Caenorhabditis elegans: one gene and its partners. The protein of the gene in region 1 interacts with the protein of each later gene in a pairwise test. Each region holds a gene or a part of one and is shown in the gene's direction. Other genes may lie near its edges.

Region 1 (3,711 bases):
GTGGAAATTAGTTTTTCGCAGAAAGTTTTCAATTCAGATCTGGAAAATCTATTCATTTCGCAGTTTTTTCCTTTTAAAACCCGGAGAGTAACTTTTACTATTGGGAAAAACACTTGAAAGCGTTTTTCAAGTCATTTTTCCGGCTTTCAGTCCAAATTAAGACAACAAACAATACCAGTTTTAAGGAAAATAGACAGTTTATATTCGGAATTTATAAAACAAATGTGATAAGAACTGCCGGCGGATACGAAAATACCGAAAAAAGTAATCACCGACGACACCGAAACGGATGGAAAATCGAAAAAAAATAAATAATTGGGGGAAAGAATACACACATCGACAGAAGACCGCAATTTAGTGAGTGATATCCATGGACTCGACGACGTCGTACTTGTAGGTCTTGTGTTTCAGCACCTTGGTGGCTCCGGCCTGGAATTTGTAGACGAGGTCGTTGGGCTCTGGTCGCTTGCAGAATTCTGGCACAATTGGCCCCTTGAAGACGGTCTCGCTTGGCTCGATGATCACAAGATTCAAACTGTTTCCTGAGGCGTTGTCACCGTGCATACCGGCTTCCAGGGCGCGTTGGACAAGCTTCTCGGCTTCATCTTTCTGAAAAATATAATTATAGTATTTTTAGCGCATTGGAATTCAAAAATAGACTACTTACCGTCATATCAACCTTAAAATCACGCTCCAAAATAGTGATAGCTGCATATGATCCAGATCCTTGAGCTGTGAATGGGAAGGCCATTGTAGTTCCGTTGGCGGAGCACATATAAAGATGTGGGCCAGTTGGATCGACTCCTCCAATGAGCAAGTAGGCTCCGATGTATCCTTGATAGTTGAAAAGATGCTGCTTAGCTTGACGAAGAGCGGTGATCACACGAGCCTTGCGCCCGGTGTTTAATTCCAGAAGACGGAGATTTCCAGAGAGCATCTTTGTGACTTGATCGAGATCGGCGGCGGTTCCGGCTCCGCAGGCATAGATCGACTCAGTGAGCTTGTGAACCTTCTCGCAATGCTTATCGGCGATGATATTTCCGGCGGTGGCACGGGAATCAGCTCCCATCACAAGTCCGCCCTTGAAGGCAACGGCGACGATGGTGGTTCCGGTACTGGTGAGCTTTGGAGCCTTTCCGCCCATCTTGCACATTGCCTGATTACGAATGCAGTTGGAGAAGTCGAACGCGCCTCCACGGTCCATGTCCATGTGTGGGACGGTGGATTTGACGTCAGCGGTGGCCATTCTGGAATTAATGTTGTATTTGAAAAGATCTCACAAAACATTTTGAGAAAAAAAAACAATAAAAATGACAGGAAAAATACGGAAAACCATCTAGAAAAAACTGATTAACGAAAAACTTCGATTTCCCTGATTTCTGCTGTCTCACAAGTGATTTTCTGCAGATAACCTATTCAATAGCGAACTTCCACTTAATTTCTACAAATTTTTAATCAAAAATACGCTAGAAAAGCAGGAAAAATGGTGGAAAACTTCGAAAAATGTTGGAATGCTGACAAAAAGATTTTTCAAAGTCATCGCAACGACACTCCGAAATAACGCAAATTTGTAGAGTTCCGTGGAGCGTGTTTGCACCAAAAAATTTCCGTTAATTTTATTTTATTTTTCAATTGAAAATCTCTGCCTAAAACTTTTAATCTTAAGTTTTTCATTGACTTTTTGAGTTTTAAAATTCAAAAATTGAATTTTTCGTTCATTTTTAAGTAATTTCATATAAAACTGCCTATAGAAAATGAAAATTCCCTGTTATTCAATATTGCACAACATTTCGAAGCTCCGCCCATTTGTAGTTTGTATTTGTCTTGCTAACACCCATTCTTTCTCGTTTTTCCAATCAATTTTTACTATTTTCTCGATATTAAATCAATTAATTTTCAAAAAAAATTCCAGTTTCCCGGTTGAAAATGGCTCTCCGCGTCGATTACGAAGGATCGAACGATGTCGGTGTGTTCTGCACCCTCACCAACAGCTACTGCCTCGTCGGCGTCGGTGGCACTCAGAACTTTTACAGTATTTTGGAGGCCGAGCTCAGCGATCTCATCCCAGTCGTGCACACGTCGATCGCCTCGACCAGAATTGTCGGAAGACTTACAGTCGGAAATCGTCACGGACTTCTCGTACCAAACGCCACGACTGATCAGGAGCTTCAACACTTGAGAAACTCGCTTCCAGATGAGGTATGCGGGCAGGAAATTGAGAATAAATATTTAAAATTTGAATTTTCAGGTCGCAATTCGCAGAGTTGACGAGCGTCTTTCCGCTTTGGGAAATGTTATCGCTTGTAACGACCACGTCGCTATTGTTCACGCAGAAATTAGCGCAGAAACTGAGCAGGTAAGGAGAAATCCTACAGAACTGCGACTTTCAGTGTGATATTCCCACTTTTTTAATCGAAAGTTAGTAAAGAATCGTCGAAAAATGTTCGATTGTTCTGAAAATGATATTTATTTTTTGTTCAAAAGTTCGAAAAAGACCCAAACTTTAGTCGGAAACGGACAATTTTCATAACTTTCTTATTAATTTTTGATTCAAATGCTTGGCTTAACATACTGAAATTAACAATGTTCACACTACAAACTACAAAAATTCCTAAATTTTCTCTTTCAGGCGCTCGTCGAAGTGCTCAAAGTGGAAGTATTCCGTGTCAGTCTCGCCCAAAACTCGCTCGTCGGCAGCTACTGCATTCTCAGCTCTAACGGTTGCCTCGTGGCCGCCCGTACTCCACCAGAGACCCAACGAGAAATCGCCGCTCTCCTTCAAATCCCAGTCGTCGCCGGAACATGCAACCGAGGATCCGAGCTCATCGGAGCCGGTATGGTCGTCAACGATTGGGTCGCATTTTGTGGACTCGACTCCACTTCTACCGAACTGTCCGTCGTCGAATCGATCTTCAAGCTCGGCGAGCAAGGAGCTCCGACAAGCATCAGCAATCAGCTCAGAGATACTCTGATTGAGAGCATGCTCTAATCTTTTTTCTCACTATTTTTTTGATCTACCATTCATTGTTTTCCCACCTTTTTTGTTGTTGGTTTCCCCGTTTTTTGTTGTCAATGAAAAAACCCCTGAAAAATTCGAATTTTTCTCTCTTAATTCCTTCTTTGATGTCAAATCCTCACAAATTTATACCTTGAATTTCACTTTTAAAAGTACTTTTTACACGCTATAAATTTAATTTTCGCTTGATTTCAGAAGAACACACATCAACTAAACCTACTAGGTGAGTTGGACTCCACTACAAACTACACACAAAACCCTGTAGCCTGAACCAAAAGAAATCTGCCTAATTTATAGAGTCCGACGTAGCGAAAAAGATCACGAGAGAGATAGTACGAGACGCTGAGAAAATGCGCGATCACATTGCCTTAAAGGAGTACAGTGTAGTGATAAGGAGAACTATTCTTATCACTACTAATACCCCAATTTTTTTCAGAACTTTCCGTTTCAAAGTTTATTTCGATTTCTTTTTATTTGATTTTTATTCCAGTTTTTTGGCGTAAAAACTGGAATTTTGACTGAAAAACTGCAATTTTTGTAGATTTTTAGTGCTTATATATTTTTGGAATTCGACCTTTCAGCTGCTTTTGGCAATTTTTACCTGTTTTATTTGAAATTTTAGCACGAAAAACTTAATTTAGGCGAAAAATACTCAAAAATGTGCTGAAAAATAGCATAAAACCTAAAATTATGCG
Region 2 (5,005 bases), on another chromosome or scaffold:
AGAAACAGTTTTGTCCTCAAGAAAACCGTACTACGTTTTCACATTCATAACTTTGAAATTCGTTCCGATAGCGTTCCGCTAATAAACAAGAACTCTCAAATGTCTCTGATATATAACAAATCTGAAAAGTATTAATGCACTTCCAAAAGGTAATCTTTATCTTTGAAACATCACATTTACCCATCTAGAAGTTTGTTAATTCTGTTTCTTGTCAGCTATATGAATTGATTCATAACGGATTTTGTCCGCCTTTTATATATCTTCTCATAGTTAATCTAATCTTCAAATCGTGAAAACTCTTTTCATATAACACATTTAGAAATCCAGCCGATGGAATAGGAAAATAGTATATATATATATATATATGGATATGGATATATAAGTGTTGCGAATGTTTAATATTCTCTTTTTTTGAAAAGTTTGTTCGATTGTTGAACAAAAATGTTTTGCTTTTGCTGTGAGTTTTAATAATTAGTTACTTCATAGTCCTAGTAGGAATTCTGAACGTATCTGAAAGGGCATTGAAGGGGCGTGAACTTTTTGGAAAGGTGATCCCTCGTCCTGTTCCCTGTTTGTCTGTCCCCTGTCCTCACCTCCTTCGTCTTCTTTTTCTGTCGTTTTATACTTCTCTTTGCTATGCATTCATGAACAGATAATCCAATTTGAGGCTGAGGCCTGCGTGTGTATGTGTGTGTATGTGTGGAGGCCCTCCAACGAAGAAAGAACAAAACTTGGCAATCTTGAGCATATTGGATAAGCTGCCCGCTGAGTTGCTAATTGTCAACGTTTGGCACAAACGCCACATAGAGCCATCTCGGGATGGAAAGGGAGAGAAGACTGGTTGGGGGAGAAAAGAAGGGTAGAGCCTTTGGAGCATTTTTGTGTTTTGCGGGCGTTGCTCCATCCCTTCGTCGTTTTCTCCACCCTGCGTTTGCGCATCAGTCGCCACACGCCGCTAGCCCCCGAGTCCTAAACCCCTCCCTCCCATCTACACACATCCATTTATTTATTAGAAGAGCTCTGAGTAAAACATGAACTATTCGCTATCCGTGGCCTTGTTTTATTCATTGCTTATATCGCATTCGCCCGGGTTTTCCTCCTGGGCGCGCCTTGTCTTTTTTCTTTTCCTCCCGTTTCACCTCCGTTTTTCCTTTCGCCCTCTTTCTCTTTCCTTACGGATACGGGAGGCTCCCCCCACCCCTATCTTCAAACCTTGTCTTTTTTCCGTGCTCAGGGAAACGAGCATGAATTCATTGTCTCAAATGAATGTCTCCTTTTGTGCATCATTAATCTTGCATCGAATTTTGCTTTTTATTCTTACATGCTTTTGTCCACTTTGCACAAGCTGTCCATTTTTTGTCAATTCAAACATCAGCTTGAACCTTTACCTGTCCATGGTTGGCCTTTTTTTATGGCGAAACCTGGCGAACCCAATATCCATCACCCTTCTATTCCTTTTCTTTTCCCGTTTTCCTTCGCTTCCCACTTCCCCACCTCCTACGCTTATTTCTTATTCCTTTCCCGTTTTAGTGCTCTCTTTCTCTTTTTTGCAAAAAGTTCTTGATAGCAGTAAAGAAAAGAAGAGGAAGACTATTTTTGGATGTCCCGAGTTTCCCACGGTATTCATCGACGTCGTCGTCGAAAATGACCACATCCAGTCTTACTGGGCGCTCATGTCTTGGAAAAGGCGTCATTTTTCAACGTTTCTAATCCCGGACGCTCTTATTTTTCCTCTCTCGGTTTCCCCATCTTTGACGCTGTTCTTTTTTTGTTTCAGCGTTGATCCTGTTTTCTTGTTGGCCTTTATTGACATACAACTCTTAAACCGAACAAATTCGTTTCTATTCTTTCTATTCGGATTGTTATCGCGCTTTAGTCTTTTTATACGCTATGATTTCACATGATGCAATAACTCCTTATTACCTTAAAAATCAAACTTCAGTGCCTCATTAAATATAATCATGGACGATCCGTCGATGATGCCGGATTTATCCCATTTATCTGCAGAAGAACGTGAAATAATAGAAAATGTGAGTTGTTCCAGCACGAACCCCCTCCCCCCCCCCCCCCCCCCCCATCGTTCATTTTGCCCATCCGTCTGCTTCTTGTGGGGTTCAAAAAAGTAGTTGGTGCGGTGTGAGTCCTCTGTCTCGGAGCATGACGGGCCCCCCGAGGGGTGAAAGAGCGAGAAAAGGGGAGGGGTATTACTTACAACGCCGTGAGCACACGCAAAATAATGGATATGCAATCAAACGAGTGTGTGCTCTTATGTACATTCGACAAGAAAATTGGCATGATATCATGCGTGCACATACATATAGAGAATACTCACTCAGAACGCTCATGATTTATGTTTTTTGCAGGTCTTCAAACGACAAAAAGATGAGGAGGCAAAAGAAACACAAATATCACAGTAAGAGTTTTGTAGACACATAATTGCATTGGTATTTCTTCATGCGAATGATTTTCCAGAAAAGCATCTGAAGAATTGTCAGAGTTAGACAAACAGATCACGGAGCGGAAAGAAACATCGAAAAAGCTGGTTGGCACACAAGATGACGCGATCTGTCAAATCTGTCAGAAGACCAAATTTGCGGACGGAATTGGTACGTTGTTCCTTTTCCTGAAGAAGCGATGAGAGCAAAGGGTCCTTCTGTCGCCCTGAGATGAGCCTCGTTTTCTGTTCCTAGTAATTCTCTCCGCGGCGTCAGAGAGCCCCTAACCCTTGGCTGTCATCGTCTCTCTAAAAGGACATCAATTTAGCACAAGATGAGAGGTTTTTCAGGCCACAAGTGCTTTTATTGTCAATTGCGTAGCTGCGCCAGATGTGGAGGTAGAGCACAGAGCAAAAATAAGGTACGAGCGGGAGTGAAAGTGTGGGATGAAATAAGGGGAAACATGAAAGAGAAAGGACAAATTCTGGATGACTGCATTTGAATAACAGAATAAAAACCAATTTGAGCAAAATCGACTTGAACATTTTTGCGATATGATGTTGCAATGTTTATATTTTCACAAAAAAAATCTAAACTTTACAATTTATTATAAAATCATGTTTAATTTTATAGTTAATGAATCTAATTTGGAAATCAAGCGAAATAATCGTTTTTACATCTAAAAAAATACGACAGAAGCTGAAAAACAATAGCATCCATTGTTTGCAAAGTAGTTTGGAATAAAGAGATAAATAGAAAGTATTAGCCCCGTGGGTGCACCGACCGATAAAAAAGTAGAGAAGTGAATTGAAGAGAAGAAGTAAAAAGCTTTCAGGCAATCTGGGCTTGTTCGTTGTGCCAGAAACGTCAACAAATTCTTGCCAAAACAGGCAAATGGTTCCAACCCGAAGAGCAGCCGCAGCCGAAAATTAGCGGCTCCGAGCCAAGCCCTTCGCCCCAACCACTAACTGACGACAACGTACCAGAACCGCAGCAGAGGCGAGCAGAGCCGCCTGATAAAATGTGAGTTTCTTCCGGTTTCTTTTACTTTTCCAAGTTTGTGTTTGATTGTTACATGTTCCTTTGAAGCGTTAGTTTCAATCAATCACAATTCAGACTAATTTTCATATTTTCAGGAACACTCCAAATTATCAAAACAACCAACAACCCCGTGGAATGGGAATGCAGCCAAATCATAATCAAACTCAGCAGAATTTCATGAATCAGAACCAAAATTCAAATCAACATCCAAATCAAAACCACAATCAGAATCAAATGCAGAACCCGCATCAAAATCAAAATCATGTTCAAAATAATCATCAAGGAGCCAACAATCATCAACAGAATAATCGAAGAGCTATGCAACAACAGCCAATGAGTCAAAATCAGGCAAATCAGATAAATCAGATGAATCAAAACCAAAATCAACAACAGAGCCACAATCAGAATATGACTCAAAACCAGAGAAACCAGGTACTTGAAGTTGGAAAGTTCCACGATTATTTCAAATTCTACATGTAAATAATTCAGACTGGCCCCCAAAACCAACAAAGGACAAATGACTCTCGAACTATGAAACAAACGCCTCAACAGCAGCCCAGTCAGTATCAAAACAACGTAGGCGCGGCACATCAACACCATAATCAACATGGACAACAAGAGCAGCATCATCAACGTAAGAGCCTCCAGGGGTATAAAAAGAGAAAGTGAAAAACAAAACAAAAAAGTGTTGTGCGCTAAAATTGCGAACGAGACGCAAATTGATATAGTCTGGATAATTTCAGAAATGAATGAACAACGGACGGATAACAACAGAATGAGAGAGAATACTAACGGGCAAGGAGGAATGTTCAATAGGCAGCCGTCATTAGAGGTGAAGGGATCAGGGATATCAAAAACGAGCTTTTGAAAAAAGATTGAGCAGCTTATTATTAGGGTGATACTTCTGTAAAAGTAATGAACAAATGTGAAGAATCATCTAGAGCGGAAAATTTGGTCAGAATTACAGTACTGTCGTACAAAGTTCAGAGTAGAAAAATATATTAAAATGAAAAAAAAAACGAAATTGTTTCTAATTTAGCAAACTACGCCCATGAACAAATACAATCACGTTGAGGATGATGGCATGAACCAGCGGTAAGTATCCCATAAAGTTTAAAAACTTGATACCCACTTGCTTTCAGACCCACGTTCTACACTGGAAATTCCGAGAATGACCAAAGACAATTTGATGGCCAAATGCAACAGGGCTCACAACAAAATAATCAGAATCAGAACCAAAACAACCGAAATCTTAGAAAAAACACAGTCAGCCGGGTAACAGAGGAGGATTATGCAAGTTCGTCAAACTTCGAATCTAAGAAACGTAAGATGATATCATATCGATAATACCTTGCTAAATTCTATTTTGAGAATCAATTTCAGAGCGGAACAACTCTTCACAGAGTCAGTCCAACACGCAAGGCGTGCGAGCATGTCCTTCTACTGACGACCATTTGAACCGGGTGAAAAATCGATTGCATAGGTGAGCAAGTGTAATTTGGCTAATGGAAAAAATAGACAAACTCAAT
Region 3 (5,028 bases), on another chromosome or scaffold:
AGAATTTCTTCGGAAAAGCTACCCAGTCGGTCATGCATGCTACAGATTCTGTGATAAAGAACGTTCAAAATCAATCAAAGCAATCTCTTAGTGGTCTAACCCAAGAAGAGCTAGATAACATTGCACAGGCTACTGAAAGTGCTCAGCAAGAATCTAAGCAAGAGCTCACACAAGATGAAATAGATCACATTGCCAGAATTAATGCTATGGCAGCGGAAGACTTTGAACAACCCGCAGTTAATATGAATCAAGGATTGTCACAAGCAGAGAAAGATCATATCGCTCGTATTGAGGCTATGGCAGCGGATGATTCACAATCTAAAATCATTGTTCCTCCTCCTTCAATTATCCAAAAAGATATTGAACTTTCAATGGAAGAAATGGATCACATTGCTCGAATAGCTGCAATGGCTGACGAGGACTTTACACATCCTGTTAAAGGAGCTGTCGCGCCAATTTATGATGAAAATTATAGTAGGGACGATGGTGCAATTGATAGATTCCCAGCTTCGACAGCTACTCCAGTGTTTGCGCAGCCGTCTGAAATTGAACTTTCTGAAGAAGAGCGTGAACATATTTCCAGAATCGCTGCAATGGCTGAAGAAGATTTTAATACACCATACGTTTCAACACATCCAACACAGCAAATTGAAATAGAACTAACGGAAGAAGAAAAAGAACATATTGCAAGGATCGAGGCGATGGCTTCCGAAGATTTAAATGCGCCATCTCCCTTTATCCAACAAGAGCAACGAGTTGCGACAATGCCAGTGCCAATTAATTATCATGTTGAAGAACCAACTCTATCGCAAGAAGAAATTGATCACATTGCAAGAATAACAGCTATGGCTACTGAAGATAACACTGATCTACAAACTCTACCAACTCCTCAAGTTAAACAAAATGAACCGGAGCTCTCCCAAGAAGAAATAGATCACATTACTCGAATAGCTGCAATGGCAAATGAAGACTTTGGAATGTATCCTTCAATTGTTTCTGAACATCCTGCTCCAGTTGAATCTGAACTTACTCAAGAAGAACTTGATCATATCGCTAAGATCACAGGAATGGCATCTATGGACATCAGTACTCTACCACCTCCAACAGGAAAACCATCCGAGACATCACTTACTCAGGAAGAACTTGATCATATTGCTCGCATAGCTGAAATGGCATCAGCAGAATATGATGTTCCTGTAAAAATATTCGAACCACCAGAACTAACTCAAGAGGAACTTGATCATATAGCAAAGATTACTGCAATGGCTGCACAAGATGTCCAACTTCCTGCCACCCAAAGATCGATTACTCATAAGGTTTCGTTGACTCCACCTCCTCCTCCTCCTTCTAAACACTTTGAGCAAGATCTCACTCAAGAAGAGCTTGACCATATTGCAAGAATTGCTGAGATGGCTGATATGGATTATAACACTCCATTCACTGCTGAACCAGTTCAAGATGAAGAAGAAGAACCAATAACAGAAAGTGGATCAGATGCAACATCAGGTGCTGATATATTCGATGAACAAGAAGATGCAAGTTCAGGCGCCAGCGGCTCCTTCGATAACAACAATGCTCAAGTGCTAACGAGCGGCTTCTCTCCAGATCGAGTTACATCTCCTGCTGCACTTGACACAACTGAAGAGCCCCAGGGTCCTATTATGGCTCAGAAGGTGAGAAATAGACGTTGTTTTTTGTGTGCGAGCTGTTTCTATTTTCCCAGCCATAAATACTTTTTTTTCACATTCACCATGTTGCTATGCATGCCGTGGCAATGCAACGGTGTCATTAAATATTATGCAGATAGCGTGACAACTCCCAGATTTTCAACTTTTCCCCTTTTTTGACTACTAAACACTACTATCCAACAGGATTTTATGATTTTCAGACTGTGTCTCCGACGCCATCAGCAGATTCGATGGCGTCACGGAAGAGTAGTGAATACGACATTAGAAGTATATCAGAGATTAGGCAAGAGTCCGAGTCGGATATCGGAAAGTGGTATGCTGAATTTTTAATAAACCTTTTTTTTTCTTTTTGAAAATTAGTGTTTCAATTTTACTATTTTGTTCAGGTATGAGGAGCAACTCAGTTTCATGCGACAATCGATCCACGATGAGGAAGAAGATGTGGGGCGTAAGTGGTTTAAAAAAAAAACTTTTATGCGCTTCAGTGTAGGTACACAGAGGCCTACTCACCTACCTAGTATAATTTGCTAAAACAAATTCTACTCGACAAGAGAATTTCTACAGCAAAGAAAGCAAAAGCTAGATAAAATGTTATCAAAAATATTTTACAAGAGTGTTTAATTAATTCTTAATTCTACAAAAAACAATTCTAATTGCAATCAGCAGACTTTTATCTGAACTTTCAAAATTTTCCACTATCCACTCTGTTTTTGACTCAGAAAAACGTCCAAATAAAAGAAATGACTGAATATAATTTCATTAGACCTATGTAATACAAATATTACATTTTTCTTCTCTATTTACTTTTTTATTTTTGAAATTTCAGATGAAATTCGAACTGACGTTGAAGAGTTCCCATTGGAGTATGTTGAGGATCAACTTCACTTCCTTGAAGGTGAGTTTTCTGTCAAAAATGAAAAATTCATAGCACAAATCAAAAAGCGAGACGAAGAGACCAAATCTCAAAGCAAAAAAACATATATTTGCAGGTATTGACGTAGAGAGCCAACACCATGAGCCCACCACTTCTTCTGCCTTCTTTGGCACCGGAAGATCGATTGGTGAAGGGGAAAAGAGAAAATATGGTGACGACGCCGTGGAGCAGCAAAAACTGGAGAACTACGAAGAGGAGGAGAAGACGAAGAGTAGTAGTCGTGAGGCTTTTGATGATGGATTTGAGACGCAGAGAGAAGAGTCGTTGAGGGCGCAGCAGACACCCATCGATTCACTGCCGGGTAGTCGTATGTTGAAGCGACCCAATTTCGGCTTCCTTTCTAATATTGCAAATGATGCTATTAATAAGGTAAGTAATTGAATATTCACTATGACCTATCAGACTTCACCGTTTGAAAAAAGACCATGAACAAAAAACTAAAACTCAAAAGACTACGTTTTTGAAACTGTAAATGCGCGAAGCTATTCAAAATATTTTCAGTCACTATAGAAATTGTTATTTTTTTTAGAGCTGTTTGACTGAAAATAAATAATTGTCCAAAATTGTTTGACAGGTTTTATTATGATATTTGGTATGGATATTTGAAATGATTTTCCAATAATGTAGAACATATTATGTTGCAACAATTTGTTTTTTTCTGTTATATTCAAATTTACTGTTTTCTAGAAAAAAAACATAGAAATTATGTTAACATCTAAGAAACTCTTCAATCAGCATTTTTTCTTAAAAATAACTAACTTTTACATGCAACATTTTGAGAATATGAGTAGTTTTTTATACACACAAATTTATATATTACATGAATTCATTTTCAAAAAAAAAAAACCATTTCAATGTCAGTATACAAAACCAATTTCGCAGTGTCTTTGACTCTCCAAGAGCAGCTACGATGGGCTCGTTACTCACGGAATTCGACTTTCCGGTCTTTCCAAAATAACGCAAATGTGTTGTTCCCTCATCCAACAAACACTATACAATCATTTGTTCTTCCTTTTTTCTTTTTTTTTTTTAGCGGTCACACATACACCATTCCAAAAGATGTACCCATCGTTTTGGTCTATTTTCCACTTTTTTATGTTTTGTTGTATGTGTCGCTTATGCATAAATGTAGGGTGTGCAACAAAAAGAAACACTTTAGGATTCGGCTCGGGGGACCCCCATGCCTCATTAATTTTTTGCGAGAAGACATGCGTGTGCTCTTCTCTCCTTGTCACTTTCGATAATTGCTCTTTTTGCAGGCAAAGGAAGCGGGTTCGCAAATCCAAGCCGCCGTACCCATCAAGGTGAGTGAACTTTTTTCTTTTTATTCTCTTTCCGTAGGGCTTCCGACCCAATTCAATTATGGTAACACGATTTTGATCTAGATCTCATGACTAAACGCTCACGAGTTTTTCACTTGATTGATTACTTTTTTTTGAGAAACTGCTTTTGGTATTAATATTATAAACAAACAATTAACTAATTCACAAAACGGCTAATGTTTTTAAACATTACTTCTGTAAATTAATTTTTTTGAAATAAATTAAATAACCTCAAAATAATAAAAACTTTTCAGCCATCCTCTTCATCATCAAATATTGTCAACAACAATGTCTTCTCTAGCAGGTAATTGATATTTTGTCAAGTCAACTATAAAAAAAACAATTTCAGCAAATCCTCAACCTCCCTAGGCACCAGTGCTCCAACCAAATCTATTCCGTAAGTAACATAAAACATTCCCAGTATATCAGATTACTCCCCGCACGTACACTTTTCTACCTCCCCTCTTCTTTTTTCTTTTGATTTTCATTTCCTAAATGGTTAATTTTGAAATTACAGCTCTCCACAAATCGGTATTCCGATGGATGGTCTTTCCGAAGAAGAACGTCGACAAATCATGTCAGTTATGGCTGCAGCCGACTTTGACGATTCTGTTAATAATGTAAAACCAAGCACAAGTGGTTCATCAAATATTCCAGCAGGAATGGAGGATCTTTCGGAAGCAGAAAGAGAAAAGATCATGTCAGTTATGGCAAATGCAGAAATGGAGATGGGCGCACGTTTCCCTCCTCCTTCAAGTCAAATTCCAACAAGATCTCCCAGTGTTATGAGTTCAAGTATAATGTCCGAATTACCACCTGGACTCGATGATTTGTCAGATGATGAAAGAATGAAAATTATGGCAGTTATGGCAGAAGCTGATATGCAGAATGTGCGAAAACCCATTGCAAGAGGCCCACCACCAATGCCACCAAGGTTAGTTAGCCGACAATGAGACACCAAAATTTTAAGATTATGAAACACAATGAATGCTTCAAATTTCACTGAAATTATTTCTGGGAATTCAAAAATATGAAACACACCAGGGCATTGCGGCAAGCGGATATTCTTGGCGATTTCCAAAAC

Evidence for each region.
Region 2: the proteins of eif-6 (region 1) and unc-10 interact in a two-hybrid assay, tested with the Caenorhabditis elegans proteins (one large-scale study listed by BioGRID).
Region 3: the proteins of eif-6 (region 1) and cla-1 interact in a two-hybrid assay, tested with the Caenorhabditis elegans proteins (one large-scale study listed by BioGRID).

What each region holds. Positions count from the first base shown.
Region 1 is NC_003279.8:12,967,034-12,970,744, forward strand, and holds eif-6 (Eukaryotic translation initiation factor 6), read left to right. Parts: upstream 1-1,912; 5' UTR 1,913-1,926; coding exon 1,927-2,199; intron 2,200-2,248; coding exon 2,249-2,356; intron 2,357-2,629; coding exon 2,630-2,989; 3' UTR 2,990-3,202; downstream 3,203-3,711. Other genes in the region: pbs-2 (Proteasome subunit beta), read right to left, coding at 355-609, 668-1,246. UniProt on the Caenorhabditis elegans protein: Binds to the 60S ribosomal subunit and prevents its association with the 40S ribosomal subunit to form the 80S initiation complex in the cytoplasm. May also be involved in ribosome biogenesis. Involved in miRNA-mediated gene silencing.
Region 2 is NC_003284.9:7,277,258-7,282,262, reverse strand, and holds the start of unc-10 (Rab-3-interacting molecule unc-10), read left to right. Parts: upstream 1-1,940; 5' UTR 1,941-1,961; coding exon 1,962-2,030; intron 2,031-2,179; exon of another isoform or gene 2,180-2,318; intron 2,319-2,363; coding exon 2,364-2,413; intron 2,414-2,472; coding exon 2,473-2,606; intron 2,607-2,660; exon of another isoform or gene 2,661-2,745; intron 2,746-2,785; coding exon 2,786-2,856; intron 2,857-3,270; coding exon 3,271-3,458; intron 3,459-3,571; coding exon 3,572-3,908; intron 3,909-3,965; coding exon 3,966-4,110; intron 4,111-4,219; coding exon 4,220-4,308; intron 4,309-4,515; coding exon 4,516-4,571; intron 4,572-4,618; coding exon 4,619-4,800; intron 4,801-4,859; coding exon 4,860-4,959; intron 4,960-5,005. UniProt on the Caenorhabditis elegans protein: Regulates the efficiency of a post-docking step of the release pathway. Acts after vesicle docking likely via regulating priming. May regulate the conformational changes in syntaxin.
Region 3 is NC_003282.8:7,608,762-7,613,789, forward strand, and holds the start of cla-1 (Protein clarinet), read left to right. Parts: upstream 1-1,918; coding exon 1,919-2,001; intron 2,002-2,074; coding exon 2,075-2,136; intron 2,137-2,514; coding exon 2,515-2,583; intron 2,584-2,677; coding exon 2,678-2,991; intron 2,992-3,881; coding exon 3,882-3,926; intron 3,927-4,198; coding exon 4,199-4,248; intron 4,249-4,293; coding exon 4,294-4,341; intron 4,342-4,461; coding exon 4,462-4,878; intron 4,879-5,028. UniProt on the Caenorhabditis elegans protein: Required for synapse development in the active zone of presynaptic terminals of specific neurons including serotonergic NSM neurons.